Linked DNA regions of Alligator mississippiensis. The protein of the gene in region 2 interacts with the protein of the main gene of each other region in a biochemical or structural test. Links are inferred from orthologs where the notes say so. Each region holds a gene or a part of one and is shown on either strand. Other genes may lie near its edges. The genes, in order: MAPKAPK5, HSPB1, MAPKAPK2 and MAPKAPK3.

What was found.
Region 1: of the proteins of HSPB1 (region 2) and MAPKAPK5, one has a biochemical effect on the other in vitro, tested with the Homo sapiens proteins (4 studies listed by BioGRID and IntAct). The link is inferred for Alligator mississippiensis from reciprocal best matches to the Homo sapiens genes HSPB1 and MAPKAPK5.
Region 3: of the proteins of HSPB1 (region 2) and MAPKAPK2, one has a biochemical effect on the other in vitro, tested with the Homo sapiens proteins (17 studies listed by BioGRID and IntAct, with this or other methods). The link is inferred for Alligator mississippiensis from reciprocal best matches to the Homo sapiens genes HSPB1 and MAPKAPK2.
Region 4: of the proteins of HSPB1 (region 2) and MAPKAPK3, one has a biochemical effect on the other in vitro, tested with the Homo sapiens proteins (2 studies listed by BioGRID and IntAct). The link is inferred for Alligator mississippiensis from reciprocal best matches to the Homo sapiens genes HSPB1 and MAPKAPK3.

Annotation. Positions count from the first base shown.
Region 1 is NC_081833.1:3,713,965-3,721,121, reverse strand, and holds the start of MAPKAPK5 (MAP kinase-activated protein kinase 5), read right to left. Parts: upstream 3,263-7,157; 5' UTR 3,146-3,262; coding exon 3,110-3,145; intron 1-3,109. Other genes in the region: ALDH2 (aldehyde dehydrogenase, mitochondrial), read right to left, coding at 6,050-6,082, 7,105-7,157. UniProt on the Homo sapiens protein: Tumor suppressor serine/threonine-protein kinase involved in mTORC1 signaling and post-transcriptional regulation. Phosphorylates FOXO3, ERK3/MAPK6, ERK4/MAPK4, HSP27/HSPB1, p53/TP53 and RHEB.
Region 2 is NC_081837.1:16,992,130-16,999,537, reverse strand, and holds the start of HSPB1 (heat shock protein beta-1), read left to right. Parts: upstream 1-4,179; 5' UTR 4,180-4,192; coding exon 4,193-4,592; intron 4,593-7,408. UniProt on the Homo sapiens protein: Small heat shock protein which functions as a molecular chaperone probably maintaining denatured proteins in a folding-competent state. Plays a role in stress resistance and actin organization.
Region 3 is NC_081837.1:41,799,850-41,808,156, reverse strand, and holds the start of MAPKAPK2 (MAP kinase-activated protein kinase 2), read right to left. Parts: upstream 3,266-8,307; 5' UTR 3,173-3,265; coding exon 2,882-3,172; intron 1-2,881. UniProt on the Homo sapiens protein: Stress-activated serine/threonine-protein kinase involved in cytokine production, endocytosis, reorganization of the cytoskeleton, cell migration, cell cycle control, chromatin remodeling, DNA damage response and transcriptional regulation.
Region 4 is NC_081835.1:45,274,393-45,281,865, reverse strand, and holds the start of MAPKAPK3 (MAP kinase-activated protein kinase 3), read right to left. Parts: upstream 3,020-7,473; 5' UTR 2,820-3,019; coding exon 2,663-2,819; intron 2,619-2,662; exon of another isoform or gene 2,387-2,618; intron 1,702-2,386; exon of another isoform or gene 1,640-1,701; coding exon 1,347-1,639; intron 1-1,346. UniProt on the Homo sapiens protein: Stress-activated serine/threonine-protein kinase involved in cytokines production, endocytosis, cell migration, chromatin remodeling and transcriptional regulation.

The DNA.
Region 1 (7,157 bases), on a different chromosome or scaffold from region 2:
ATTAGCTGCCTAACATATAGATAAATAATATTATATAAAAAAGATTAGCCAGCTACCATGAAGAACATGCATAAACCACGTGAGCACCTTCATAGAGAACAGGGGTGGCAGGTGATGGAATCACTGTACTGAACATTCAACACAGCAGGGCCCAGTGGCATAAACTAGTTTGATATTGTCTGGCAAGGGACCAAAATCACAACAGCTCAATTCTGTTCATACAAGCATGCCATGATGGCGCCGAGATGCTGAAAATACGTTCGGCCTTATTAAAGACAGAGCCTAGATTAATACTTGTGCCCTTTGCCGTTAGAGTTAGCGATCTAAAACTCCAAGGAAAAAGAGCATAGAAGAATACAGGTGCTGTATGTTAATACAGTTCCCAAGAAAAACATCTTAAACTGGTCCTGATCCTGAACATCTTTCCATAAGAAAGTCAATAAAAACTAAAGAACGGGGCCAAATGTTCTAATCTGTCAAGAGAAACAAGGACGCAACAGAAGTCAACAGGGGAGAAAACAGGAGAAGACGACTTTTAAAAGGCTGTGCAGAGACAGAAATAAACCACCTGCCAAGTGACTGTATTTAGATCTGGACTTCTGATGTGCATAGAAACAGAAAAGTGGCCAATCCCAATCCACGCTCTGTTCTACCCATCGGTTTCCCTACCCTACAAGGTCTGAAACAACCGTTTTCCAGTTACCACATTTCAACTCCGTGCACGATAAATGCGTCACTAAACAGTGGGAACTAGCACAATCGGAGAGGTCACACCTTATACCATGAAACACACGATCTTTATATGAGGCAGATGATAGTGTCCCGATGCATTACTGACATGCTGCAAGCTCAAATTATGTGGATTTTATTTAAATGAGACAAAAACATTTATTGCAGCTGGAGCATTAATGTTGACAGGAAGCCCCCAGAAAAGATGTTCTTGAAGGCAGGTTTTGGAAAGGGCTAGAGCTCATACATTTGGAGTCCTTAACATTACTTTAATTAAACTGATTAGAGCTAACAGCAATTCCAGCAATCTTGGAAAGACATGTTAAGGAGCAGATCAGAGTATCATAGAGTAGGGCTGGAAGGGACCTCAGGAGGTCATCCAGTCCAACACCCTTCTCAAGGCAGGATTGCCTTGGTGTATGTTTTAGTCTATACTCTGTCATTTTGCTACAGGGAGTAGAGTGAGCGACAGGTAAAAGGAAAATACAATCTTAAAAAAGCCCGGTCTTTTGGCTAGGAACGCACCAAGAAGAAGGTATAGTGTGATGAGATCCACTGTTCCTATGCAGTCCCAACCCACAGACACTAACAGACACCGGAAACTTGAAGCTTTGTCCAAAGAACAGATAAAGGCACAGAGGGGTTTTTTTGGTTTTTTGTTTTTTAACTTCAATATATATATTTTTTTCCACGTAAAGTGAATCCGAACTTAGGACAACCTACTCCGAGGACTACACTTACTAAAACTCTATAAAAATAATTCATATGACCCAACAGCAGTATTCAAGCAGCACGTGCATGTTGGCAGGTCGTCTGGAAAGTCATTGGCTAAGCACCTAGAACCAGGGTTTGGCAAAGAGAGAAACAGCGTTTGACAGCTGGAGCGCCTTCTGCGGCCGCAGAGAAAACATTCGGCCTCTTTCAGATCGGTTCGGTCCAATGACTGGTTCATCCAAGTTTAAGAAACTGAGAGTTGAAAGAGCAGGAAAGCTTGTTTCCCCCACAACGCACTCCATGAATAAAAACAAGGTACGATAGGCTGAGATCTGTTACTAAAATCTTGAAGGACGTGGCCACCAGAAACAATCAGCCCAATTCACTGACTACAAATAATACTTCCTTTCATTAATAAATCAGGCAGCTCTAAATCTAACATACTGGCTTTATTTTCCTTCTGCACCCAGCACATTTAATAGGTTTTTATTTAAGTAATAATAATTGTTCAAATGCTGCTTTTCTGCATTTGTAGTTGAAGTCCAGTTTCCATAAGATCGGCTTGACAAAGCAGGAGTAAACAAAACGTCACGTAACTGGCCAATAACTACTCTCCAACTATTTGGGTTGGTCTAATAAAAGATATCAGATTCACCCAAGGAACCTGGTCTAAGGACATAGGCAGACAAACACGGCTACAACCTCCACCCCTGGCCAATGAGACACTCATTTCCTAATATACTAAAGTGTAAACATTAAGGACCCCGGTAAGCGTACGTTAAGCTGTTTATGTCTATTATGTCCACTTGGTTAGCAAAAAAGCAGCGTTGAAATCTTAGGATAAAGGTTCCATTTATCTGCAAAAATCAACGTCTTAAAGAGAGTCTGACTAGCGCAGGTGGAAGAAAAACTGAAACGTACAAACGCGAGCAAAACTAACGAGAGATTTAAATCGAGGCTTCGTCTTTCCTGATTTAAGTCAATCCCTTGTAAATTCAGGTAGCAAAGGCCGGAAGAAAGTAACTCGGACTAAAAGTGCTGCAAGGCACAGACCTCGTGACGCGACTGGGAGGAGAAGTCACGCTGAAGAGCGTGCACGTGCTTTATCCAAAGCGATGCAGTTTCCTCTTGAAAGTGTTTTACCGCTACGACTGGAGGGATTTTATATTTCCTCACCGTCTTAAAAATCAGCCCGAGCGTTCGTTCATAGTCGCGTCACCGTGAGGTGAAGGATCCTCCTCCACCAGACCCGTGCGAGCGGTATATTTTTCCGTTCACCTTGCAGCCCAAGGTAAGTCCCACCTTCTCTTCCCCTCGGGCACAACCGCGCCGCGGTCAGACCGAAGACACGCAACACAACGGCGCAGACCTCTTTTCCGCGCGCACAGACTCGTTCCCGCGAGGACGGGCCCAGGCGTCGGGAAACGTGTCAACTTCTGCTACGGTCGGGCCGGACCGATGATCTCGCCAGGTCCCGTCCAGCCCCCATGTCTACAAAAACCAGATGCAATCCAGCCCCCATGCCTACAAACCCAGGTCCCGGCCAGCCCCCATGCCCACGAAGCCAGGCCGCGTCCAGCCGCGGGGCCGACACAACCAGGTCCCGTCCCGTCCCGTCCCGTCCCTCCCTAGGGCGCGAGTCCATGAGGGCGCCGCTGCCGCCTACCTTGATCGTCCGCTCCATGTTGCGCTCGTCCGACATGGCCCCGCGGGCCCGGGCCGCGCTAGGCGACGGGCAGCCCCGGCGGAGCCCGCCTCATGCCGCCCGGCCGGGCCGCGGCCGCGCTCCGCCCGGAAGCCGCCGAGACGCCGCGGCCGCCTGGGAGCCGGGCATTGCCGGCGATGGCGAGGCGAGGCGGGGCAGCCCCGCCGGGCCGCGCGGCGCCCCGAGCCCCCCCGAGCGCCGCCGGCACAGCCCTGGCGCGGGCGCGCGGCCCGAGCGCTGCCCCCCCGCGCCGCTCCCCGGATTTTAGGAGCCCCCTCCGACGCGGCGGAGCGCTTGACAGGCACTCGCTTAGCCTCCTCTGACAAAGCGACCGCAGGGGCCTAAAGACCCCCACCCACCGGGGGCCTTGCAACCGCCGGGCCCTTTCTTGTGACGTCACCGCGCACTGGCGACCATCGCCTCGCCCCTCAGATGGAAACGTCACCGAGCAGGTTGGTGAGGCCCCGAAGTCTCGCGAGATATGAGGGCTATAAAAGCAGCGCGCGCAGCGTTCTCTTCGCCATTTTGTGAGGGATGGGTAGGTTTGTTAATAGCATCGTGAATATTGTTGTAGTAAATAATAATCACATTCAAAACACTCCTTACTAGGGAATAATTAATATTATTATGCTAAATAATAATTATTAAAAAAAAGACTCCTCACTGGAGAATAATTAATATTTTAATATTAAATAATAGTAAAAAAGACTCCTCAGTGGGGCATAACTAATATTTTTATAGTAATACTATTATTCCCCACTGAGTTGCTTTTATTATTATTATGTTAAATAATATAGAAAAGATGCCTCAGTGGGGGAATAATATTATTAAATAATAATGGAAAAGATGCCTCAGTGAGGAATATTAAATAATAAAAATAAAAAAGACTTAGTGGGGAATAATTAATATTATATTAAATAATAATGATAGAAAAATGCCTCACTGGGGAATAATTAATATTATTATATTAAATAATAATAAAAAAAAAAAGACAGGGAAAGAGCTGGTGCCTCGTAGTCGCGAGGTGGTGGGGGCTAGGCCAGGCTCAGGCCCCCTCGTGCCTCAGGGCGCTGGGCCCGCGCTCTGCCCCCACAGCCTCGTCTCCTGCCTCCAAAAACGAGGGGTCAATGGCTCCTGCGGGGGCCGGCGGACGAGCGAGTCTCACCCTGGCGCCCAGGCGTGCCCGGCCGTGCTCTCGGGCGCCCCGCTGGGTGTGCAGGCATGACTGGCAAGATCAACCCAGAGGCTGCAAGCGATGCCTAGTGTTAAAAATAATTCTGACTTTGTGGTCTTCCTTAACTTGGCAACAGAAAGCCCGCCGTCTTATTTTCCATCCTGAAAAGAAAGAGCTGGCAGTTTCCGAGACCCACCTAAAGCGCGAGTCCGAGACGGTTGAGGGGCGCTGGCTTTGCCCCTCGCGGGTCAGGCCCCGGGGCCGCTGGGGGCAGTTCTTCCAGTCGGCATCAGGAAACGCCTCAGACCCGTGCGATCTGGCCCTTGCTGGGTGCGAGTTAACGGGGAGCGCATGAAAGTTATCCTCTTCAGGACCCGTGCAGAGGTGCAACTGGAAATCTTAACTGGCTCCCTTTTCAATAACAAATCACCCTCTACTTGAACTTGGATGCTGCACTGTTAAGACACCCTGTTTTTAAAGTACATTTACATTTTTTTGGACCAGTGCTGGCCAGCACCCTCCCTCTGGGCTCTTGCTTCTCTATCGCAGCATGGTTGATCAAATAACCGGTAAATCAAGCAGTTCTTAGGTCACCGCTTTCATCGAGCCGGTAGCTGCGTTGTGTAAAGAAGGGGCTGCGTCTCCTGATCGCTTAATAAACAGATGCAGAGACCGTCACCATCACGGCAAAGCCCCATCGCATGTTAGGACGACTTAGTGGCCTGTAGATGTCAGTCGAGTACCTTCAACTGACAGAAGTATTTCCCCATCATCCCTCCTACTTCTCAACTCTTTAGCTTTGTTTGAAGATTAATACCGAGGGTGAAGAACTTCCAAGAAAACCTCGCAGCACTGAGTCAGGCCTCAGCTTTGGTTTCCGTGGACTTCATGCCAATGTGAAGAATTATGCCAATGTCTTTTGAAAAAATAAATAACATCTCCATGCTGTTTAAATCAAGCAATGTTTAAACACACCAGCATCCATGAAATATTCAGCCATAATTCAGGATCAGCTTTATCAAGTAGAACAGGCTGAACAGGACAAGCATGTTTATTATGAAAGCTATATGTAATGCAGGCAGATTTCAAATGACTGTTTCAAGGTGGCAAAAAGGTTTATGCTTCAAGATTCCTAGTATTTTACATTTTGAAAATCTGAAGCCATATGTACTCCCAGAATATCAGAAGCCAGTATTACACAATCAATCTTGGCTGCTTATAGGACCCAAATCCTGCTCGCAATGCTGACATAAATCAGTGCCTCGTGGTAGACTGAAATTTGGCAGAGAGATTTATTATTTAAAAAAAACACAATCATCCACCCAGCCAACAGTAAGCTTTTAATTAGCTGATTTTGAGGAACTGTAGTTTTCACAATGTGTCCAAATGATGTTTTTAACATTAAAAAGAAAAACAACCCACATTAGAGACTTCAGATACGAATGCAACAAGAAATTACCTAAACGTGTCACCCGTTAATGTAAAAAGATTCGTGTTTGTTATCAAAAAAATTAAATGCAACTGAGGTTTCAGACAGGTAAAGAACACAGAACTGCCTCAGGCACCTTTTCTCAAGAATATTATCTTAGCATTTAGTTATATTTAGTACTCTTCACTTTTGTACTTATGTTTCTGTTTGCTTTGAAAAAACATTTCCCTATTTCCCTACCCTGGTAACCTTCAGTTGCACTGGAGTCTTCAAATGCACCTTGCAGTGAATACGTCCTTTACGAGTTCTTCTGTGGGATTTTGATTGTTACCTGGAAACAATAACATGGGTTACTTTCCTTCGTGTCAAAAGCACGTAAGGTTCATTTTGTTCACTTCTATGGGTCTATGCTGTTACCCTCTTGCTGTTCTGCTCAAGTGTAAGGACCATGGAAGAAAAGGAACTATGCTCCAGTTATTAAAGGTGCTGATTGATATTCAACTTCCTATCCAACAGGCAAAACTCCTTTCAGGCAACATACATTATTAATCACGCAGCCTTCATTCCTTCTTCAAAGGAGTTAATTCAAGAGGCACAATATTTTGAGTAAAATTCAGCATTACCTCATTTACAACTAAATTCAATTAAAACAAATAGATTCTAAGAGGTTTCTCAATTACAGCATTCAGTGGAATTGGTAGCAGATGAGTTAGGACTCTTGGGTTTCATTTGCGAGTCTATGATTGGCTATGTTACTGATCTACATTGAGTTACCATCTCCCTTCACACACTTCCATGAAGTTTTGTTCACTATTTGTGCTGGCATTTTGCAAAGAATGAAGTGCTACAGAAGTGCCAGGGGTGTAGGTTGTAGCCGTGTTGGTCTAAGGACACGGGCAGACAAGGTTCTTTGGGTGAATCTGGTATCTTTTATTAGACCAACTTAAATAGTTGGAAAACAATTATTAAGCAGGCTTTCGGGTTCAAAAACCCTTCGTCAGGCTAAGGAAGTTTCAGCAGTTGGTGTGTGCACTTCCTGGATGGAATGAAGTTTCACACCAACTGCTGAAACTTCCTTAGCCTGACGAAGGGTTTTTGAACCCGAAAGCCTGCTTAATAATTGTTTTCCAGCTATTTAAGTTGGTCTAATAAAAGATATCAGATTCACCCAAAGAACCTTGTCTGACAGAAGTGTCAAGCTTTCTCCCATCCAAGGTTAAGGGAGCAAGCTTGAGATGTCACGAAGAATGACCCAGTTTCCATCTGCTTACGTGGTGTGAGAAGGCATAAAAAGCCACATCCTTTTGAATTTCTCACCCCACTGCCCTCATTCCAAGACATGCAGATACTCACCGTTTTCACTTCTGTATATGCCTCCAGGCCATACTCCCCTAGCTCTCGCCCGT
Region 2 (7,408 bases):
ACCATGGGGGCACTCAGCCTCTCCCCTGTAGCCTGGGGACCATTAATGTCCCCACCCTGCCCATAGACTGGAAGGTAGCAAGTCTAATGCAGCTGTGGCTCAACACACCCTGCAGAGCCCGGCTGAAGGGCTCCTCAGAGACCTAAGACAAAGCGCAAGGTGGCTGCCCCAGCCCATCATGAAAGAGTCTGTCGGGGTGCCCATAAAGAGGCCACAGGTGCCCACTGCAAGCACAGCTGGGCTGGCAGGCCAGCTCAAACCTGTGCTGCTGGCTCAGGTGACTAGGAAGCTTTCAGGGCTGAATCTGTGGGAAGCAGAGGGAAGGAGGGGCTGGGGCAGTATGGGCAGGGAGGGCACAGAGCTGCAGTTGGAAGGAGGAAGGAGTGGCTGGAAACTGCACAGGGGCCTGGGGTTATAAATCATCCTGCCTTCACTGCGCTGAGCACTAGCTCCCAGGATGTCAAGCAGCTGCAGGGCAGCAGATGGGCTCTGACTTTGAACGAGTGTCTCCCATGTGAGAAAGGGCATCAGCTCCAGGACACAAAGATGGGTGAAGGCAAGTAACTGTGCACTGGACAGTCACTGCCAGATGGGGCACTGGATAGCAGGGGCACCTCAGCCTGTGGAGCCTAAACCAACAAACTGGGGAAGAAGGGGACCAGCTGGCACATCATGCCGTTGATGGAAAAGGCCGTGTGCAGCTCACATGGGCACAGCTCCACACTGGCAGAAAAGCACTGGCAAGGTGGGGAATAGGGCTGGCAGCCCATCGTGGGGTATAACAAGCCCTGGGCCCTGACAGCCCCCCTGAAGGCTGACTCCACCCTTCCCTGTGCACTTTAGCTCCAGGAAAGGGTCCTGTAACCCCATCTTGCTCCAGTACCTACATGGTGCTTCACTGTTGTTCCTGGCTTTCAGGAGGTCGAACGTCATCCAGCCACCCACGGCCCAAGCTGCCCTGGCCTTATCTACCCACTTCCCCCCCCTCCTCTGCTGCCACTTATCCACCAGCCGGTCCAACCCCCCAGCCCAGCCACGTGCGCATGACTCACCCACCCTTCCCTCAGCCACCCACTGAACCCTCGTGCTCACCCTCCTCCCCTTCGCTCTGCACTGCCTGACCTCAGCCCGCTTGCTAGGTTATGAGCACCTGCAGTTTCTGACGTCACCATCTGCAAACCCAGCGACCCCTACCCTGGCACACGCTGTCAGCAAGGCAGCTGCCAAAGAGAGGTTTTTTCCAGCCTGAACGAAAACAGCCACCACCGCTCAAATGCAACCCGACCAATTGCAACACGATAGGGGGGAGCGCAGCAAGGACACTTGCGGGCAGGCCTGCTGCTTTGTACCTCAACAAAGCTCTTCTCTCACCATGGGTGCCTGGTGCCACCTTAGTCAGGGGGGCACATGCCCCCCCTTTGACCAGTCCAGCCAACCGGGGCTGGAGCCACTTCTGGGAGCAGCTGCAGCAATCAGCCGGTGCCTGCAGGGGGGCACCAGTGCTCCCACCTGCTCCCTGCCCATTGCCTAAGCAACGAGCGTGGCTGGGCAGGGGGGTGCACCGGTGCTCTCAGGGGTGCATGTCCACCCCCTATGCATTGCCACTGTCTCTCACCATGACACACAAACACACACGTGTCACTTGTTCCCCTTGATCCCTCTGCAGATTGTATATAAAATGTGAAAACACAGACTCTGCTCAAGCCAGATAAAGGTCAAGCAGCCCCTGGAGAGTCCTGCTCATTTAAGCATTGGCCAACAAGCTGTGCCTTTGCATTGCATGTATGCTGCAGCAGTTTTGAGGCACCAGCTGAGACCAGTGGCCTGTTGCCCTTGAGGAGCTGGCACAGCAAGATAAAGTAACTTGGCCAAAGTCAGCTGTGGCAGAGCCTGGAGACTCCCAAGCCTGTGCCTTCACCATCAGGCATAGTCTAGCCTGCCATGCTAGAGGTGCTGGGAGAAGCTCATCCCGGAGAAAGAGAGCTACCGACCTTGCCTAGTGTTCCTCAAGGGTAAACATGAGCCTCGTCCAAGCTGCCTCTGGGGTCTGGGCAGACAGCTGTAAGAGTGTCCTCAAGGCCAAAGCCTTTCATGTCTCTGTGGTCCAGACATGGTAAGTGTATCTGAGCAGCGGCCCTGTGAGCTCTCCTAATGAACATAGATAGGGAAAGTTGGAAGGGGGTTCAGAGAAGAATTAGGAAAAGGGCCAAGAGGCCGGAGGGACTGCGGCCTGCTTGCCAAGGGCTAACCGAGAACAGCTAAAGGAGAACAGACCATCTGCTGGGAAGGGTCATTCTGGAAGATGTAGAGACCCAGGAGAGAGGAGCTGTTTATAACACAGAGTAACGGCGTTGGCATGTAACTAATAGGGGACTGAGACTGAAAGGCAGGGAAAGCTTCCCTCGGCTGGGATGGCTTGGACTGCAGCGGGTACAGAAGATGGTATGTGCACATGTGAACGATGTGCACATGAGGGGTGGTTGCAGGGGCTTCCCTGATCACTCATTCATAGGGCCACCACGTACCTCAACTCATCCGGCCAGGAAAACCCTCCAGGCACCACCTCCGAGAGGGGTCGGCCGCCCGGCAGTGGGTAGGAAACGGTGGGAACCCGCTGCTTAGCCCGGTGTGAAATGCAGGTCATTTGAACACGTCTGTGACAGACAGCCCTTCCCATTCAGTTCCTGAGCGAACTGAGAGGATGTGATAGGACAGCCAGCCAGGCTGGCAAGCGAAGCTTATCTCCGTCCACCTTGCCAAGATTTTCGAGCCTGCAGGCTGGGAGACGAGCAGCGCCGCAGCCCGGTGTGACTCAGGACCTAGAAGATTCCAGGCAGGGACACGCGGCCAAATCCTGCGCTGGCCTCAGCTGGCACGGCTCCATCCGCTCCGATGGGACGGCATCAGCTTACACCACCGGAGAGTTTGGCCAAGCATGCTGTAAGACATGCTGAGAGAACAGTTAAGAAGTGGGGATTTGGGACAACATGAGCTGGGCCACGTGACACCGGAGGATTCTGGGAGAGAAAATCGCTCCTCTCATTAGACTGATGGGCAAGGGTGGCTTATGGGCTCACGGCACTGGCCCAGCTATTACTGAAGCCAGCTGGAGCCTTACACTTCTTATCAGTTGGAGCAAAGTTAGGACAACAGTGAATGCTTTTAAAAATACCTTTCTCTATTTTAAAAGGCTTTATTTTGTGGGAATCTTTGAAGGTGATCTGAAATGAAAAAAAGAGGTCTGTGCCCTTCTTTGTGTCTGCAGGATGCACAGAGAAAGCTCAGACTCATTTGATCTTTTTCCATTTGTCTTCTCGAGCCTGTTTCTCTTGGAACGCGCAAGAAATGCCTGGAAACATGGCTGGCTTCTGGCATTAGAAATATCGTCAAAGTAACATGCCCGCGGCTCAGTGCAGGGGCACTTGGTGAAATGGAGTGGTCGATATTCGACAAAGGGTCAGACTAGGCAACTAGATAGTTGCTTCTAGTTTTAAAACTCAGAATCTGTGAATTTGAATTAAGAGGGTTAGGAAGGGTTTTTACTGCTCTGAGAGTCTAAAATTAGGGGGCTTTGCTTTTGTTAAGCCCCTTATTTAACTCAGACCCCTGAGAAACACAGGGGAGAAAAGATTTCTTTGTTAAAAATGTAACATTCTTCCCTGAAGGAAGGGCTGAGAAAGCTCATGGCACACATCCAATTCCTCCTGCTGCCAAATCAGACTCGGTGTCCCTGAGATTTGAGAGGAACAAAGAGCTGAAGGCGGAGAGACATCCATCCTGGCTTGCTCTGTCAACAGTGAAGCAGCAAATTCTCTGCCAAGACCAACGGGGGTGCCAGCGTCCCTTCCAGAAGGAATCGCCCCACCCTGCTCCTGACCCATCTTGCATTGTGCGGTGTGATCAATGCTGCTCTCAGGCTGGGGAGCTGTCCGTCTCTCCCCACCCTCTCCTTTGGACAGAGGGCAGCTGTAAGATGACAAACAGACTGGGAGTAAGTTGGCAGAGTCCAGGCCTGACTGATGTTCATCAGCAGTTACACGGTCCTGGTGTAATTTCCATTAATAGTGAGCTGAAATTCTTGGCTAAAAATAACTGGCTGCCTCTTCATAAGGGGCTGGCGGGAGGCAGCTGCTCCGTACAGACAGAGCTCGCTTTGCCGGGCTGCTGAGGTGGGACCTGCAGGAAGCCCAACATGTCGGAGCGCCGAGTGCCCTTCACCTTCCTTCGCGGCCCCAGCTGGGACCCCTTCCGGGACTGGTACCAGGGCAGCCGCCTCTTTGACCAGTCCTTCGGGATGCCTCACATCCCCGAGGACTGGTACAAGTGGCCCAGTGGCACCAGCTGGCCAGGCTACTTCCGCTTCATGCCCAGCCAAGCTGCTGCACCCATGGTCGCCGCTGCTGCCAGCCCCATCATCACCTCGCCCACTGCCACCAGCATTGACTACAGTCAGGCCCTGAGCCGCCAGCTCAGCCGTGGCATCTCGGAGATCCGGCAGACCTCAGAGAGCTGGAAGGTCACCCTAGATGTCAACCATTTTGCCCCAGAGGAGCTGGTGGTGAAGACCAAGGATGGCATTGTAGAGATCACTGGTGAGTGCTGCCTTTAGCTTCTCCTGTCTTGGGCTGGAGCACAATTGGCCTCCCATGGGAGCCTTTCTATGAACCCATTCCTCACCTTATGCCTGCTGCATGTGTAACTCAGTGGCCAGCATGAGCTACCTGTCCCCTCCCAGGCCAGATCTGTGAGGCTGTTGCAGCTCCCACCTAGCAGTGCCAGCCCTTTGGCTTGCACAGTCATAATGATCTTGTCAGCTCTAGAGACCCCCAGATCCTATCCCCAGATCTGATCACCGGCCCCAAACCTCTAGATTTCTCCCAGTTGCAGGGCAGGGGGTGCATGTTGGCAGTGCTGGCTGTCTTGTGTCATTGCAATGCTAGACCTAGAGGGAAGCTGGGGTGGCCTCACTCCAGTGCCTGCCCCTCTGCAAAGCTGGCAGCTGAGGCCTCCATTTCCCCTGGCTCCTTTCTCAGCCAGACCCCTGCCTCCTCTTCCCTTCTCCTCCTGACCTCGCTGCCTTGCTGAACTAGATAACAGCCCAGGGTGAGTTGCTCCCTCTGCTTTCAGCATGGGGGAGTTGTTGGCTCAGGTCCCTCCTTGGTGTAACTCCTGAGGGGGTTTAGTCCAAAGATGGTAGAGAAGGAAGAGCCCCACCTGCCTCAGCTCTACAAAGTCCCTGGACCTGGGAATGGAGGAAGGAGTTGATGTGGGGATCAGATCAATTATTCAATCCATTTCATTATTTTTAAAGTAGCCCTAGCAGCTTAAACCCATGGTGCAGGGCACGATACACTCGCACAGGTGAACAGCAGCTCCTGCCCCCAGAGAGCCCCCAAAGGGCAGGGGAGGGAGACTGAGGCCCAGAGCTGGACAGGGACTTGCCTAAGGTGACACAGTAGGTCAGTGGCAGAGCTAGGACTAAGACAGAAGCCATTCTCCCTGCCACAGCCACCTGCCTGCACTGTCTCCCAAGGCCCTGGAAGTCTTACCCACAACCCAGGGCTTATCCCAGGTGATGAGCAATCCAGCACCAACGGGCCTGCTGGGCAGAGCTGCCCCAGATGCAGCAGTTGTCACTTCGGGGGAATCATGTGAACACAAATCACATTCCTTCCACCCTTTCTCCCTCACCCGATCCATATCAGCGCAAGAGCTGACCAGCACATTCACAGTCCTGGATCTCATCAGAGAAATGTGGGTGAAGGAGGGAATGGTAATGAAATACCTCCCCCACCCGCAGTCCTCAACCAGTCCTACTCAGTCTCCCTTCCTCAAAGTCTAATGGAAAACTCAGTGTACAATCATCAGACTCGATGATCTGTTGAGGGTCCTTCCGACCCCAGCATCTATGAATCGATGAATCACCTGAACCCCCAACACATTCAACCAGGTTTCAACCCAACCCAAAGAAACCAACAAAGCTTTGACCTATAGCTTGGCCTGATTGCCTATGAATCGTCCCCTCCCCTACTTTGTTCAGGGACTCTTTCAAACCACAGTCTTTTTGAGCCAGATCCCCAACCAGGGTAGACAGGCAGAGCAACATCGATTTCAATAGTGCTATATCCATTTACAACCAGTGAAAAGCTGACTCTGCATTCAGGGTTTACTGGGAAGCCCAGAGGCAGGTGAGTGGCTGCACATATATATATATATATATATATTTTTGTAAAGCAGTTGCCCTGTTTTCTCATTAAATGCTCCCCTGGTGACCAGGAATGTATCTGTGGATAACAAGGAGCTGGCTGGCAGTGAGCCCATTAATTCCCTTCTGAGGGCTCCTTTTCCTTTAAAGCAATATAAGAGCACTGATCTGTCAGAGTAACCGTGAGAGCCGTCCCCTGAGTACATGCTGCACCTGAGCTGCAGCCATCAGGAGCTCTGATTAGACAGAAGATCATCAAACGTGACAGCCAGCAGTGTCATCTTTGAATTCCTGATTCAGAAGAGTGACTGCTATGAATTTTAAGCCCCTGAATTGACACAATCCGGGCCCTTCTAGACTCCATCCCACAATATGCCAGACCTAGGCAGCCACTGGAAAATCCTGCAATGGGCTCCTTTGTGATGAAACCAGTGAATGGTTGGTAGCGGGTTGCTGGAAGTTGATAGATAATGGATGACTGAAAAGAATAGCTCCGAGTCAAGTCAAACCAGGCGCCACACACAGGGGCGAATTAATGCAAGAGCCCATGGGGCCTGGGCACCAGGGGCAGCACAGCCCAGGCAGGCATCCTGGCAGCAGGCATCCGGGGCAGGCAGCGCGATGCTCCTGCCCTCAGCCAGGCCATACAGGTGCAGGTGGTGGCAGCTTACCGGGGCTGTCTGTTGCCAGGAGGCCCCACGGGCAGCCCCACTCCCATTTCTGCTCTCTGCCGTCTGCGGACAGCCACCAGCACCAGCACCAGTACCGCTGAAACAGGATGGGACAGGACATCGGGGCTGGCAGAGAGGTGGGCGGTCAGCCAAGGGCAGCACAGAGCCCATGCCCCCGCTCCCCCCAAGTCAGCTTCAGCCCAGGCCTGTCCCACAACGCTGGAGGACCACAGCCCCGGCAGTGTAACACCTGCCAGGTGGAGGGGCTGGCCCGGGTTGGAACTGGGGCCGCCTTCACCACAGTGGCACTTGCCCCCTGGCTCATCCTGAACATGCCAAGGAGGCTGGGCGGGCTCAGCCACAGCCCCCTGGAGGGCACAGAGACAACTTGCCCTCGCCAGGCAACGAAGCGCTCGGAGCAGGGGCTATGCCCTGCTGCCATTTTCCCAGCCGGGGCAGGGGGGGCAATGCAGGCGCGGCTCGCTCCAGACAGAAGGGGGCAAATGGCAGCGGGGCATAGCCCCCACTCCCA
Region 3 (8,307 bases), about 25 Mb from region 2:
GGGCCAGACACACTGTAGTTAGTAAGTCACCCATCACTGCCCACAGGTTTAACCGGTGGATTTGAAGTCTCCCAAGCTCACTGGACAGGCAGCTTGTCGGACGTACTCCTCACGGCAGAAGGGACGAAGGGTAGCTTTGTCTGAGACCCTGAACTAACAGCACAGCAGATTCTCCTGTGCTAGAAGGAGTCACTTACGGGAGCAGCTGCGCTGCACTTTGAACTGACACCAACACATTCGATAGCTCAGCTAAACTCTTCTCGGTCCGGAAGGAAGAGAGGAGAATGATGGGGGTGGGGACAACGTCCCAGCAGAAACATTCCCACTTGAATCTGTCACGTTCCTTTGCCTTGCTGCTGGATCCGGCACATCTGCAGGCACTATTGCTTAGCTCACACATGGAAAGATTTGGCCCCACGTGGCCACAGCTTTCCATCTTCATACAGGTCCCAGAGGTAGTGAAACAAGGTAGGGGGTGGGATTTAAGCTGAAAGGTAAAGGCTGTGATTTATGTTCCATTTTAATGCTATTAAAACCCTGAGCTGTGAGAGGCATTTAAGCACAACCAACGAAACGCAATCGAACACACACCGTGGCCACGTGGCTGGCGGAGCAGGATAGGACAGACAAGAGCATCACAGCTCAGAGGCCCTGCTCTGAGCTTAGCCCGTATTTTGATAAGGGACAGCTGCTGACTCAAGGCATCCCTTTCCCTATGCCTCACCCTGCCGCTCTTCCTCTTTTGTTTTTTCACCCAGAAAGCGTACGAAACTGCTATTCAAACAGTTGAGTCAACTTTCAAATTGATGGAGCGAGCAAGTCTGTCAAAACAGAGGTTGATCCTACTCATTTACAGTCGAAAGGGAGGGATGGTGGGGGGAGGAAAAAGGGATTTAATGCATGTTCCTCAAGCGCAACAGTGCGGCTAATGAGAAATGTCAGCCTTTTAGACAAAAAAGTTACGCACGTGTCACTCAGCAGAATAACCCCCATTTCTTTTCCCTAAAATATTAGATCTGCAGCAGTAATTTCCCTCCCCCTTCCTCTACACATCTCAGCAGACACCGGCACCTGCACCTCCCTTCTGAAGGAGGATCCTGATTGATGGGGGATCTGCACATCAAGAAGGCTCCTCCTTTATTGTGTTGAGCTTAGCAAGCCCAGCCTTAAGCAGATGTCCTCATTTAAAGACCAGTGAAACACAGGCAATCCAGAAGCTGGCTTGGGTTGTGGGTTTGGTTTTGTTTTTTTAAATCTTCACAACGAACCAGGTAACAGAGTTTCGGAACAGCAAACGAGTGGGAGCAGATCGCGTCTAAGATGTGGAACGCTCCCCGGAGGAGACGGTTCGTACCCATCCCACCTGATGCTTAGCACTGCATTGCATGAATAAACTTTCCCAGCTTCCCCGCAGCAGAGAAACACTGTCCCCTTCTCCAAAGGCTCACTTGAGAAAAGGGAAACCATCACATTACTGTGGCCTGGTGTGTATACTTTAGCACACTATTTATATAAACACCTTTCAAGCAAAGGCATGTTACGGACTGCTATATACACACACACAGTGCCACCAAAAAGCACCCAGCTCTGGGATGGAGAAGAGGAGACATTTCGTGTCTACAACGTAACTGCTGAAGAGGATTATTAAACAAGGACAACCAGACCAACTTCTGCATTGACAGAGTCCTACCAGAGCCTGAGCGTCTGCGCACGGGAGCTGGAGTTGTACAACGTCACCCAGAAACAAGCTGGAACAAATCTTCAAGACTGGAGGCGACTTTGCCTCTCAAACTTGATACTTAGGCCCTAGAATCAACCCCTTGCCACATTATTTTGTATGGTTTTAAACCAACTCACGGCCCAGCTTTGCCCATGTTAGCGGGCAGAAGTTTAAGTGGGGGCAGACATTGCACAGCAGGGACGGAAACAGTAGCAACGCCACGCAAGAAAGCCAGAAAGTGAAACCGGCTGCCCCCATTTCGTTGTTCAGCCCAGGTACAACGCATAACAAACCCCAGCGGCACGGAGGGCAGGACGTACACTGGATCTTTTTTAAAGGGCGTTTTCATTTTGATGGAGGGGGGGCATCACAGGAGCTCTTTTGTCTCTGCAGTTTCATAGATTTGCTCATTCTACCCCGTACCGAGAGACTGCTCGTCTTCGCAACCGGCTGTATTTCCGTGTAACAAGACAGCAGACATGTTCCATCACTGCTGGGCGGTAACTGTTGCTGGTATTTCTCACATCCCCTCTCCCCCAGCCACAGGAAGGAGTGGGAGAGGGGGGGGATCTACAGGGAAAACCAGCCACCCCAGCACCAGGGAAGTCCTCCTGCCAGCTAATTCCCAAGGTGGGAGTGGAGGGTTGGGGGGGGAGGGGGGGGGGGATGACCTGTAGCAGCCGTCAGGAAGGATCCATGGCCGTGTTGCCAGAGCCACCATGGAACTGAATTCTCCACCCAGACACAGGCCAGTCCCTCCTGGCGCTGGTCACTGGAGGGCCTGCAGTGCTTCCAGGGGGGCTCCTCTCTCTCTCCCCACCCCAGCCCTTTCGGACACACCAAGCCTGGGAAAGGCTGGGAGGACCCTCACCCCACACAACCCCTCTCTCTGCCAACGCCAAGTGCTTCCTCGGATCCAAAGAAAACACGAGGCCAGCCTCGCACACAAAAGCCGGCTGGGAGGGAAGAGGGGGCAAAACCCAGCAAGGATTCTGGGGGCTTTTCCCAAGCAGGAGGAGGAGCGCCCTGCCCTGCCCTGCCCTGCCCTGCCCTGCCCGGGGGGAGACCACAGGCAAAGCCAGGGGGCAGGGTTGGGACTCCTGGGTCAGCCCCAACCCGGGGCAGGGGACAGGGGGATCCAGGACAGCTGCCCCCACCTACCTTGAGGGCGAATTTCTCCCCCGTCTTCTTGCTGAAGATCTCCAAAACTTTCCCGTTGATGCCCAAGCCCAGCACCTGCGTGGTGACCTTGTAATCGTCCGTGATGGCGTTCTTCTTGATCTGCAGGCCCGCCTTCACGTGGAACTGGGGGAACTGCTGCTGGAGCGCGGGGTGCGGCTGCGGCGGGGCCGGCGGCGGGGCCTGGGCCGGCGGCGGCTGCTGGGGGGGCGGCGGCGGCGGCGGCGGTGGGTTGGGGAACAGCGCCGGCGGGGTCGGCGTGTTGGACAGCATGGCAGCCCGGCCGGGACGGCTCCTCTCCCCGCCCCTCCGCCGGAGGAAGTTGGAGGGCAAGCGCCGGAGAGGCGCCGCGACCCGCCGGGCTCGGCAGCAAGCGGGGCAGCCCCCTCCGCGCCGGATCCGGGCGGGAGAAGCGCCTCCCCCCCCGGCCCGAGCCCCCGCCCCGCCCCGGGCCGCCGCGATCGCCGCCCGCTCCTCCGAACCCGGAGCCAGGAAAGGGAGCGCTACAATGTAGCAACCTCGCCCCCCGGGCGGGGCCGCCGCGCGACGTCACAAAGCCCCGCCGCGCCGCCATTGGCTGCCGCGCCCGCGGGGCGGGGCCGGCGACAAGGGGGTTTAGGAAGATGCAGGGGGAAGAAACAGGAGCCGGCGGCGGGAGAAGAGAAGGGCAGGGTCGGGCCTTGGTGTTGTGGGCCGGATCCTTCCTGGGAGTAAACCCAGGTCCCGGCAGGGTTGGACCAGACCTCCTGAGGGCCCTTCTTACCCTCGTTTCTGGGAGGAGAAGTTTCTGAAGCCAACCCCGGTTGGTCTGGCCTGCGGAGCTGGAAGGAAAAGAAGGAAAAAAAGTCCTCAAGAAAGAAAGTAGCCCCCATCCCCTGCCCCGCAGCAGTCCAGCCACTTCCATCCTCCCAGACCTTAGACTTACACCAGCGTCACCAAGCCTGAGGCCTTCGGGTGGTCCCCATCCTAGGAGATGAAGCGGCTGTAAGGAGATCCCCGTGGCCAGCAGACTGGGCTTCCATAGGAGAAACTAAAGGTAGCCATATCTGTTGGGTTCACTTAGGTCCTGGCAGTGCCACCAGCTTTTGTGCCGACAGGCCGCTTGTCCCCACCCAGGGAGGGCCAGGTGGTGTTAAGAGGTCATCGCTCAATTCCAGGAGTCCTCTGGCCTCTGAGAAAACAAATGGGAAAGTTGTAGAAAGAAACCTGGAAACTAGTTCCTTTTGGGAGGCAGAGAGAGAGTGGCCGGCTGGATCCCAAGGTGCCAAAACAAGGCCAAAGCAAACTTAAAATCAGAATTTATCATACTGCCACACTGCTCTGTCCAAATGCAGAGACATCGCTTTGAATGGGCGACAGCAAAAAGAAGCTGTATAGAGGGGACCCATACCCAAGCTATGCCCTCCTTGCCTTTGCTATCAACAAATGCCTCGTACAAAGCACGTCGGCCTCGTCTTGGCCTCGGTACATGGGCGGATTTTACCCCAGGTACACAAATGCCACCACTCGTTCACTCAGAGATCCCCAACGAAGGGCTGAAATCTGGAGAGTTGGCTAAGTCCGCAGGAATTGTGGGAATCCTTGAAAAATGAGTACATGTGATTAAAAATTGAGTGGCGCTTGGTACACAAAACGCCAGCAGCTCAAGGAATAGTCATTTCCCTTATGTCCCCACAAAGAAAACACAAGGCAAACGTTAAAGGTTCTTCCGCCATCTCATGCAGGCCCTTCTGCATTTCTAAGACACTTTGTTTTTAAGCAGGGAGGAGCAGGTGGGGAAGGAATGCTGCATATTTGCGCACACGCTATTACAGGGGAAGCCTTTGGTAGCTGTCGGCTCTGCTCAGCCATCAAGAACAATGCTGTTCAGTTTGTGGCCGAGTGTTTGCCAAACAAATGTAGAAAGAGCTGCCATCAGCACTGAAGATGCCTTGTTATTCCACACACTAACCTGGCAGGATGGAGGAATGAGGGTTGTGTCTTCTGTATGGAGACCAGGCCACCACAACAAGCCCCAAAATTGTTCATGTGCGAGTCAGGACAGAGGCCAGAGGTCTCGGTGTAGATGGGTCCAGTGCCCACCAACCCCTAGACAGAAAGGGGCCCCTGTGGGTCATCCTCAACCCCATCCCAAAGAGATACAGAGGGAAGGGATTTCCCTAGTTTTAATATGCTGCTTTCCCCAGGACCCCAACAGCTTTAGGAGAAAAACGTAGTCTCTCCTTAGGACAGCAAGGATGCCATAGCGGGCAAAGCACCAGTCTCCAATGGATGAGAGAGGTTGCAGGCCCCAGCTCAGCCACACACTCTTTTGCACAAAGGTCAGGTCATCTCTGCCTTGTGCCGAGAGATTACATTCAAGTCACCACCCAGGGGTGCTGGGAGGCACTCGCATGCTGCCGTGATAGAGGCCCCACACATGCTGAGATAGATCTCATCAGCCGTGTAGCATCTCTGGAGATTTTGTTGGGGTCTTTATTGCCCAGGAAGCCATCAGAGTGAAAAAGAGGAAAATCAGAAGGTATTTTGTTCTTTGATTTAAAAAAAAAAATAAAATCCATAGCGGGAGTTTGAGGCAAGGCAAGCTTCCAATCTTCCCCTGGGGAGGGCCTGTTAACAAGCGTTAAGCAGGTTTTCACTTCTTCCTAGCACCCGTAACACTCCAAACATCAATGGGTTAAGAATTGCATGTGCCCAACCGCCCTGTTTTCTGATGACTGTTTATCTATGATCAATTCCCAGGAAGACAGGGGACATGAATAATAGAGCAGGCAGATTGAGTGTCAGTGAAAGGGTAGGAGGCGAGAAACAGTTCTGCAATGAACAAAGGACATCCCAAAGATAGCAAATTAACCTGTGCTCCCTGTTCTATCCAGAATCCAATAAAGACACCAGCATGCTTCAGATGTGAACGAAGAGATAAGGAGTCATCACTGAGAGCCAATATATCACTGATCAGCCCAGCGTCCAACAAGAGGCAATGAACAGCTCTTTATCCTGGGCTAAGGTTCAGTGGAAATTTTTCCTCTGGGGACAGAAAACAGGAAGTGGCCTTGCAGTATTGGTCATTAATAATCCCTGGTTGTCTTTGTTAATTAATTTACAGAATTAAATATGGTGCTGGTCTCTGTGACACGTGATAGTGTCACTGCCACTAAGAAATTTTTCTCCCTGTGGTTGTGGTTTCCTGGGCCTCTGTACAGTGATGAATTTCAACCCGAGGCCCTGATTCAGGAAGGTGTGCAAATACTTGCCTGACTTTAAGCACATACTCAAAACCATTTTTAGGTTTCAAAATATGCCTAAGCCCCTTATTTTGAAAGTGACTGAAGCCCTTTGAACCCAAGATCTATTTTCTTCCAATGGAACTGAGGCTCCTAAGCCACTTAGGCACTTCTGAAAATTCTCCCCAATGAGATTATTCCCATGTTTGCAGGTACACACAGTCCCCAAAGCCACAGACACATAAACAGCATATCCTGGGAAACTCCTCGCTGCCCCAAGAAAAAATAGTTGCAGCTACTTGGTGGAGCCCCTTGAACCTTGACACTTGGGGATAGAGCCTAATTCACCTATAAAGGACACAACAGGCCACAGAGACTTGCCTTCTCAGCCCAGGTGTTAGGTTTAGCCCTACACATACTTCCAATCCAGGGGCTTGGGGTTTCCCCCATTTTAACATCAAGGGAAATCATGACCTTGAGAAAGTAAGGACATGAAATCATGGGGAAGATGTTACATCTGCAACATGCTGGATCTGAACTGAGCCCCAAAAGGCAACCACTTCAAACAGAAGATAGAAAAGTACACTATAACAGATGGAGCTACAGACACCACATCACGGTGGGAGAAGCTAGAACTGGTAGCTCATAAGCAGTACAATCTGTGGAAGACTTCATTTTCCATCTCTCAACCCATACCTTCCACGAACAATACATGCCTTTCAGGTTTCAAAACCACACCGATAAAATAAATCTACCAGCTTGGAAATGTATATCATGCTTTTTTAAAAGCCTGTGCTTTAAAGCTAAGTACAGACAGCCAGAAAGCCCAAGGCTGAATTGATTCAACCTTCGCAGGTCAGTCTAAACTGCATAGATTGAACCGATAAGCAAGTGAATAATTGTTCACTTTTGATTCCAGAAATGCAGCCACAGACCTGCAGTGGTTTAGGCCAGGAACCAGGGTGCACAAGAGCACACCTCCCTGCTCGGCTGAAGCAGGCAGCTTGAGCTAAGTCTAGCCCGCCTACCCTGCAAGGGTGGAGGTGCAAAGCATGCTGGGATGCTGGGGGTCTGAGAGTTAACTTGAATCTGGAGCGGATCAGGGACAGAAGTTCAATAAACCAATTTAACCTAAATCCGTTAAGTCTGATACATCCATCCAGGTTTATCTTAAACTGGTTTCATCCATTCTGAAAGTGGTTTATGTGCACTGAACTTCTGTTGCATTACAGATTTGAACTGGTTTGCAATCATTTATACCGGTTTATGTATAATATCTGTCCCTGGTAGAACAGCTTATCTTCAACTGGCTGAAGCAACAAGATGCACCAGCCACTTGAAAACGTATCATATCAGTGATGACTGCCTGAGTTGCTGTCACTCAGCTGTAGAGCTATTCCTCAGATGGAAGAATGATTAAACCCACAGCTGTCACTGGGCATGGCTACAAATAATACTGATGATAAAGAATCAATGTCTTCCAGGCTCAGGGTTTTCATCAGGAGACCATTACCCTGCTCCATTGCTGCTTAAGTGCTCACAGTACGTGACTATTCCCCTCCTGAGCAATTCCTGGACTTGCAGCATCTCACAGAACCTATGTTTCAATCAAGATTTTATCAGCCTCCATTGCCCTGATTAAGAAGGGGTCTCAGGGTGAGAGTTAAATGCCAAGGGATTCATAATGATGCATCGTAGAGGTCAAAAACTCATTAAAGCTGTTTGAGTAGTCTGGGGGTGGACGGTTGTGCAGATGCTGAGAGACAAAGTTTTGCTTTGCAGATGTATTTAGGGTCTGCCAGGAAGCTGACAGACCCACTTCCCCACCTCTGCTGCCTGCTCCAGAGTTGCACAGCACAATTATGAAGATATCATTTGGAAATGCAGGATTTGCCAGTGGAGAGACTATTAATAGGCATATTAATCATCTCCAGGCCTTGTCTAAGACCAGGCCCCATAGAGCTAGACGCTGTAAATGCATACAGGGGAGAACTCCTGCCCCACACATCCTATGGTCTGAAGAGGTTAAACACAGGGAGTGAGAAGGAGAATTGTCACCTCCATTTTACAAGCTGGAAAGCAGGACCCAGGGAGATTAAATGACTTGCCCCATGTCACACAGCCTGCAGCCAGGCCAGGAGATAAAATTCACACATCCTTTGTCCCATTGCAGTCCGTTCACCA
Region 4 (7,473 bases), on a different chromosome or scaffold from region 2:
CTTTCAAACTTCCGGAAGTCAGCTATGCATTATCGGTATAGAAATTGGTGTGATAAAAACAACTGAAGACGTGGGACTGTGCAAATTTGTTTCCATGTTATTTTACCGTCACATTTCAGCACTGATTGTATTATGTCTTTTCACATTTAATCCATTAAGCCACCTTTTCAATAAATCAAGCTGCTGAATACTTCTAGTCTGCCATATCAGAGGACTGAAGAATGCATGAAACCTGATGTAGAATTCTGGTCCAGCTGGCTACAGATGAGACCTTGTCTATACTTTGACAGGTCATGCAGTCAATTACTAACAGATTTTTCTTACTTTGCCAATACATGCAGGATATAGGGCTGGGGAAGGAAAAGTGTGGTTGACATTTTCTAGACATTCTAGTTATACTTCAGGTAGGAGTATAGTAGTACTGAGCCCCAAGGCAGTTCACATGACTAGTGTTTCAAACTGCTTACAGACTCAGCAAGACAGGTCTGTACTGGCTCACATTTGAAAGATTAACTTTGCCACTGTTAGACCTAAAACCTTAATTTGAAAAGCTTAAATAATGCAGAAACTGGTTGATCAGCCCAATGGTTGCAAGCAAGTTTTTCCTTGTTCATTTAAAGGCTTCTTGTCACCAAACTGTGCTCACCTTGGGCAAGGGGGTAAATGCATTTGTTGTGATCTGATACATGGAACCTGTTTTAATAGGTTCTACCCTTATGGAAGTACAGGAGGATTCACTCCTATACCCTGAAGTTCCTATTAACTGCCAGAAAAACTACCTAAACTAATAGTTGAAAGAAAAAAGGGGGAAAAAAACCCCAAAAACCTCTCTTAAGCATTTGTTAAGACCTACCTTTCGTCATCTTTTCAACTCCCCAAACCCAGGATCCAGATTGCCTTTAGGTGCTCTTTTTTTGGTATGCTTTTAAAAAAAAAAGCAATTTGAGACATATCCCAATACATTAAAAACTTCCTGATGAGACTATTATACTGCATACAATTCTGAAATAGTTTCATGTTTGCCCACTGTAGAGTATCCATATTTGAAATGCTGGCTAACTTACAGAGGAAGGTTTTTTTTAGTCCAGGCAAAAAAAAAAGCAGAACAATTTTACAATTGAAAGTGGTTATAGAACTTCACTCAGGAACAGTCTGAAAAAAAGCTCTTGGGATTGAACCAAAATGCAGCTAATGAGCTCTGCTCTCACTAACAGTAAACATTCACATGTTCAAGAATTCCAGTACACCTGGGGAATGCATCAATAGACAAGATGGCTTTTATAGGACTTTAAAAAAAGGAACTTTGGCCTCAAAATCATCTAAAAGGTAAAAAATAGCCCACATACCTTTAAAGCACATTTCTGCCCTGTCACCTTGTTAAAACACTCCATTACTTTGCCATTAATGCCCAAGCCTAGCACCCGTTTGGAGAGTTTGTAGTCATCCGTAACTGCGTGTTTTTTTATTTCTAGCCTGACATGGGCAGCTCCCCCAGGCATGGGTTTCACATTGCTTTTGCTGTCCACATGACCTTCTGGCTGGGGCTCCTGCTTGCCCTCACTTTGTTCCATGTCAGGGAGAAAGTGGAGGTAATGGAAGTAGTCACCAGATCCCCAGTTTATCTTCAATAAGGTCCTCCCTGTTCAGCAGATCAAGGCAAGTGCAAAGAGTCCATTTGTTGGAAATTCACTCAAAACTGCCCTGAATAAAAATGTAAATGAATCTTAGAAACATACTTGGGGCAATTAAATTCTACTGTCACAAGCATCCCCCTCCCCACCTTCTCATATTTCATGTGTGGCAAGACCAGCTTCAGAAAGACAAAAAAGTGGGTCCTACCTACTAAAGTATGTGAACAATTTGCCTTGAATCTGTACGCAAGTGACAGTCTGTTGTTATTACCCAGTGTCTGTGCTCCAGTACTGCCTGGAAGACTGTGTGGGCCACGACCCCTAGGTGTTGTGAACTATACAAACACAGAAAATAATAGTCCTTGCTTCAAAGTGCTTGCAGTCACTATTATTGAACATTGCTCTGAATATCAGGCTTGCAGTGACTCCAAAGCCTGATGTTGCTCAATGAAGTCTAGGCCTTAACAAGCCCTGGACTGAAAGAAGTACCTGGTGCACAGACTCAGCACTGGGGCCAGGGACAGGAGGAGGACCTAACCCCAGGGAAGAGGTTACCTAGCCTGCCTGATGCACGGGCTGGAGGAAGAGCGGCTCCACTAATAAGGGCTACCTGCCCATCCAGGGCACAGCAGAAAGTCCCCTGCTCTGGTGCCAGGTGCTGTCCTGAGGGACAACCTGCTGGGACGAGGAAGGCCCCAGGTGATGGGTCGCCCACCCGTGGCAGGGGAGGCACGCCCTGACGTTTAATCACCCACCTTAGGGGTCTGCCTGGGCACTTCCGCAGCGGGTGGGAGAAGCTGAAGGAAACCCCTGGGTGCAGTTCCCTGCCGGCCCGGTGCGAGGGAGGGGCAGGGGCCTCGCGGCCCCGGGGCTGCGCAGCCACCAGACGGCAGCTCGGCCCGCGGCAAGGCGGCTGTGGCCAGTCCAGCGCCGGGCCGGGCCGGGCCGGGCCGAGGGGCAGGCTTCGAGAAGCAGAGCGGGAGGCCGCGGGTGTCCCGGGGCAGGAAGGGGCCGTGGGCGGGCGGGGTTACCTGGCTGCGCCGCGCTGTGCCGAGCCGAGCCGAGCCGAGCCGTCCCGCGCGGAGGCCCCGGCTCAGGCGGGAGGTGCCCGGGAGCCGCCCCGCTGCCCGCCCGCCCCCAGGTGAGTCCCGCGGCCGCCTCCCGCGCTGGGCCCGGGGCTCCGCTCATGTGACTGCCCGGCCCGGGCCCGCGGCGGAGGCACGTGGCCCTCGCGGCTGCCCGGGACGGGGACGGGGCGTGGGGAAGGGCTTTTTTCCCCCGAGCCGCTGGGTGGGCGTTCAGCGGCGACCCCGCGGGGCACGAGCGAGCGGGTGGGTGAGGGGGGCTCCCGAGAGCCGGGCTGACCCGGGCACGAGTGCCGCCCGGCGCCGCGCTACACAAAGCGGCAGCCGCAGACGGCGGCGGGCTCCGCGCTGAGCCGCGGGCGGCCTCTAGTGGCAGGACCGAGCTGCAGCCGCACAACGAGGACCGCAGCCGGGCCGGGCACTTCAGCCTCCTCCAGGGCCGTGTCCTGTTTAAGTCGTCCCGGGATTTTAAACTCGTGAAAGGATTGGTGCTGCAGTCTAGAGAACAAGCTCTTCATTTCTACCGAGGGAAGTTGAGGCCGTTTTGCGAGCGCTCCCTCTGACAGCTCAGCGGCTACTGGACTACCCGAGGTTGATAGTACCTGCGGTCGGTCCTTCCCGCCCTCCCCCGGAATAGGCAGTTAAGGCCTGGGTGCACATCTGACTGCTCAGCCGGGATATTAGAAGCGATGGTTCCCACAGCGCCTGTCACTCGGCGCCGGTGCACAGAGGGCTGTTGCGCAGATGTGAAATGCTGAGTTTTTCGTATGGCAAGATTAGTCACATACTGAAACAGCTGTATCTGTTTCCATGCTAGGTTCCCCAGGTATACGTGTTTGAAGGCTTAAAAATAGATCTGACATTTTACAGAAGTAATGCCATCTGCAGTGCTGGGAGTTAGGAAAACAATTACTAGGACTAATGAGTCCTCTTTTATCAGGAATTAAAATGGGGTTAGCAGAGCAGGGTGAAAGCCTGGAGCATGCCTTCATATGTATGGCACTACAGCCATCCCAGCCTTGAGTTATCTTACTTTTTCAGCGAGTCTGGTGGCCTTCAGCACAGTTCAGTTACTCAGACTACTTGGTCTCTGATTAAGCCGGTCCCTTCTGGGATTGTCAGACTCCAGAGGAAAACACCAATTTTGGACCACAGCTGGGCACAAAACTGTCTTTATCTTTCTCTTCCCAGGATCAACTTCCTTCTAGGCCTAGTAGCCTGTGGTTGGTCTCTTCTTTCTCAACAGCAGATGTCTTTGCAGCATTTCCCAGGGTAGTGACATAAGAGAAGCCTACCCCTACCCATTTTCATAAACCCATAATAATAGGTCTGTCTGCCCTTCTGTAGTCACAGGGTGCCCTACTTCTCCTTAGGGCTTTTTCCTGCCCTTGGACTCCCTTCTGTCCAAAATGGGACAACCAGTAGTAATGGGAGACATCAAGTATCCTCATGCAGACTGGGTAAACACCTCATTGGGGGAAGGTATAGAAATAAAATTTCTGGATGTTCTTCCTAGAACAACTCATCTTGGACCCCACAGGAAGAGAAGCAATTCTAGACCTAATCCTAACTAACAGCCATGGTCTGGTTCAAGAGGTGGTGAAACACTGTAATAGTAACTACAGCATAATTACATTCAACATTCTGGCGAGAGGAAGTAAGCCAAAAAGTCCACCAAGGTAATATACAACTTCAGAAAGAGAAATTACACAAAAATGAGGAAGTTAGAAAGAAGTTTCAAGGAGCAGTCAAAAATGTAAAAAGCCTGCAGGTAGCTTGGAAGCTGTTTAAAAATACCATATTAGACACGCAGGAAAAGTGTATACCACAAATCTAAAAGGGTACGGAGCAGACCAGTAAAACTGCTGCCTGGTTTAACAGTAAAGGACATTCAAGGCAAAAAAAAAAATCCTAAAAAAAATGGAAGGTATGCCCAAATGAGAAAAACAGTAAAGTTCACAAACTCTGGCAAGTTAAAGTGTAAAACCAAAATAAGGCAGGGCAAAAAAAGAATTCGAGGAGCACTGAGTAAAAGATACTGAAGTTAATAATGAAAAACTATCCTCCAGGAATGTATCTAGTCCTCTTTTTAACCTGGCTATGCCATCTACCACCTCCTGTGACAATTTTTTATGCAATGTGTTGCATAAAAAAATATTTTCTCTTGTTTGTTTTAAACCTGTCTCCTAATTTAAGCAGGTTCCTCCTACTTGTAATATTCTGGGACTTGGTGAATAAACAGCTCCCTGTTCACTTGTTTGTCACCCTTCATTATTTTATAGCTATCATATCCCTCTTAGCCTTCTCCTTTCCAAAATGAAAGGTCCTAGCTTTTTTAGTCTCTCCTGGTATGGCAACTGTTCCAGGCTCCTGATCATTTTGGCTGCCCTTCTCTGTACCTACCCAGAATAATATAGTATAATCTGCAAACTTGGATATTGCATCGCCATTATCAGGTCACTAATGGAAATATTGAATAAAATTGGGCCTGGCAGAGATCCTTGTAGGGCTCCACTTTTGACCTTCCTCCATTCTGAAAGTGACCATTTAGCCCTATCCTTTGCTTCCTACCTGGTACCCAGCTCTCACTCCACAAAAGAACCTTTTCTCCAATCCCATGTCAACACAGTTTTTTCAAAAGCCTTTGAGGGACCTTGTCAAATGCTCTTTGAATGTCCAAAGGTATTGTATCAACTGGATCCCCCTTGTCCACATGCTTGTTAACATCCTCAAAGAACTCCGGCAGGTTTATGAGGCAGGATTTCCCTTTTTCAAAACCATGTCTCTTCCCCAACAGATCATATTTGTGACTGCTGATTTTATTTTTAATTACAGATTCTACCAACTTGACAGAGAAGGAAGCGAGACTCATTGGTCTGTAGTTTCCAGTATCAGCTCAGGAGCCTACTTTGAAGATGGATGTTATACTAGCAGCCTACCAGTCCTCTGGCACAGAGGCTGTTTGTAATGATAGATCACAGACTATTGCCAGCAGTTCTGCAATTTCACCTTGGATTCCTTCAGAACTCACAGGTGAATGCCATCCGGTCCTGGGGACTTATTAGTATTTAGTTTATTGGTTCATTCTAAAGCTTCCTCTGTTGTTACTTTAATATGGTCCAGCTCTTCAGACCCATCTACTAGAAAGGATAGATGTGGCACATGGGGATTTCCACAGGGTCTTCTTTGTAAAACACTAATGCAAAGCATTTGTTTCGTTTCTCTGCTATGGCTTTGCTATCCACAAATGCATCTTTTACATCTTAATCATCTAATAGTCCCACCAATTCTCGTTTCAGTGTTACATTGATGTCAGTGGTGTTGGAGGAAAAGCAGGCTGCACTTACTGGTAATCTGGCAGAACCTGCAACAAACACTTCCTTTATGGATCCCACAGAGGGAGAGGAAGTGCCTTGCTCGCAGTCACATAGAATGTCACTGGCAGGGCAGAGCACAGAACCTGGATCTCCCAGATTCCAAGCTAGCACCTGTCATGCTGGGCTATGTTTTCTCCCCCTACTGAACATTACAATGACCTGACTATAATATCAGGCTTCCACTTCCAGCTTGACTGCTGATTCTCCTGTGGAACACTTATGTTTGAAGGGCTCGGGGGTATTTCCAACTGCTAGCTCCAGTGTCCTGAGAGACTACAAACTACCCTGTTAGTTAGTAAGAATTCTTTACAAATGACTGTAGCAACACTGGATGCATGCATGGTAGTGTTTATATATCTTCCTGAAGCACTGACAATTGTTTGGATAGTCAGAAGGATTAGGCCCATGTCTGTTCCAACATGTCTTCCTCTTGCTGTCTATCTAACATGCTTATATGATCTCCTTTACTGGAGCACTGAGCACCTTATCTTTAAGAGTAGTACTATTATCCCTATTATATAAAAAGGGGAAAAGGAAGAGAAAATTAGTAACACCCTACCTATCTGACAGCTTTTCCTCTAAGAAAATGTTTGGCTAATGTTGATGCGTAGGTTATTTACCATTTCAAAGGTGTGCTTGTCATTGTGTGCAGAGTCCCTTCTTATGGAGGCCTAAATTATTTACTTCCAGCTGGTCAAATTCAGGCCCTCCTATATAAATTCTATTCCACCTATTAAGCATGTAAGTAGACTCAGGCACCTAAGTGCAATTTTATTCCACTGTTTTCAAGTCCATGCAAATTCATCTTGCATCTACTTTTGTAATATATCCCCACCTGGCCCTTAAGATTAAGTTAAAAAAAAACCGTGAGGAGGAGGACCCACTGACCTTTCATATGAACTGTTTTTCAGGGACTCAAACAGTTACACTTAAGCTCCTAAATCCAGTTATGTGCCTAGCAGGTGGAAGAGAATGTGCTTCATGGAGTTTACTATAAAGCAAATAAAATGTTCTGTTAAAACAATTATTTTCTATGTATGAACCTCCTCTCCACATCAGAAAAAAACCCCCAAACCAAACCAAACTAAACTAAACTCCAAAACACTCAGAGCAAACCAAAGAATTTCCCCATCCCCAAACTACACAGAAGAACTTTTGTACCTGGAGAGAAGGTTGTGTTGCTCATGAAAATGGTTAAAATAATCACTGCAGTCAGCATCACTTGAAAAGATTTAAAATATAACCCTGAGTCAAGCCATATGACTGGAATCAGGAAATAAGTAACAGTGGCTTTGTCTACATGAGACGCTGACTGCACAGTCATTACTGCGCAGTCATTTAGTACTTGCATATACAATTACTAAATGACTATGCAGTAAC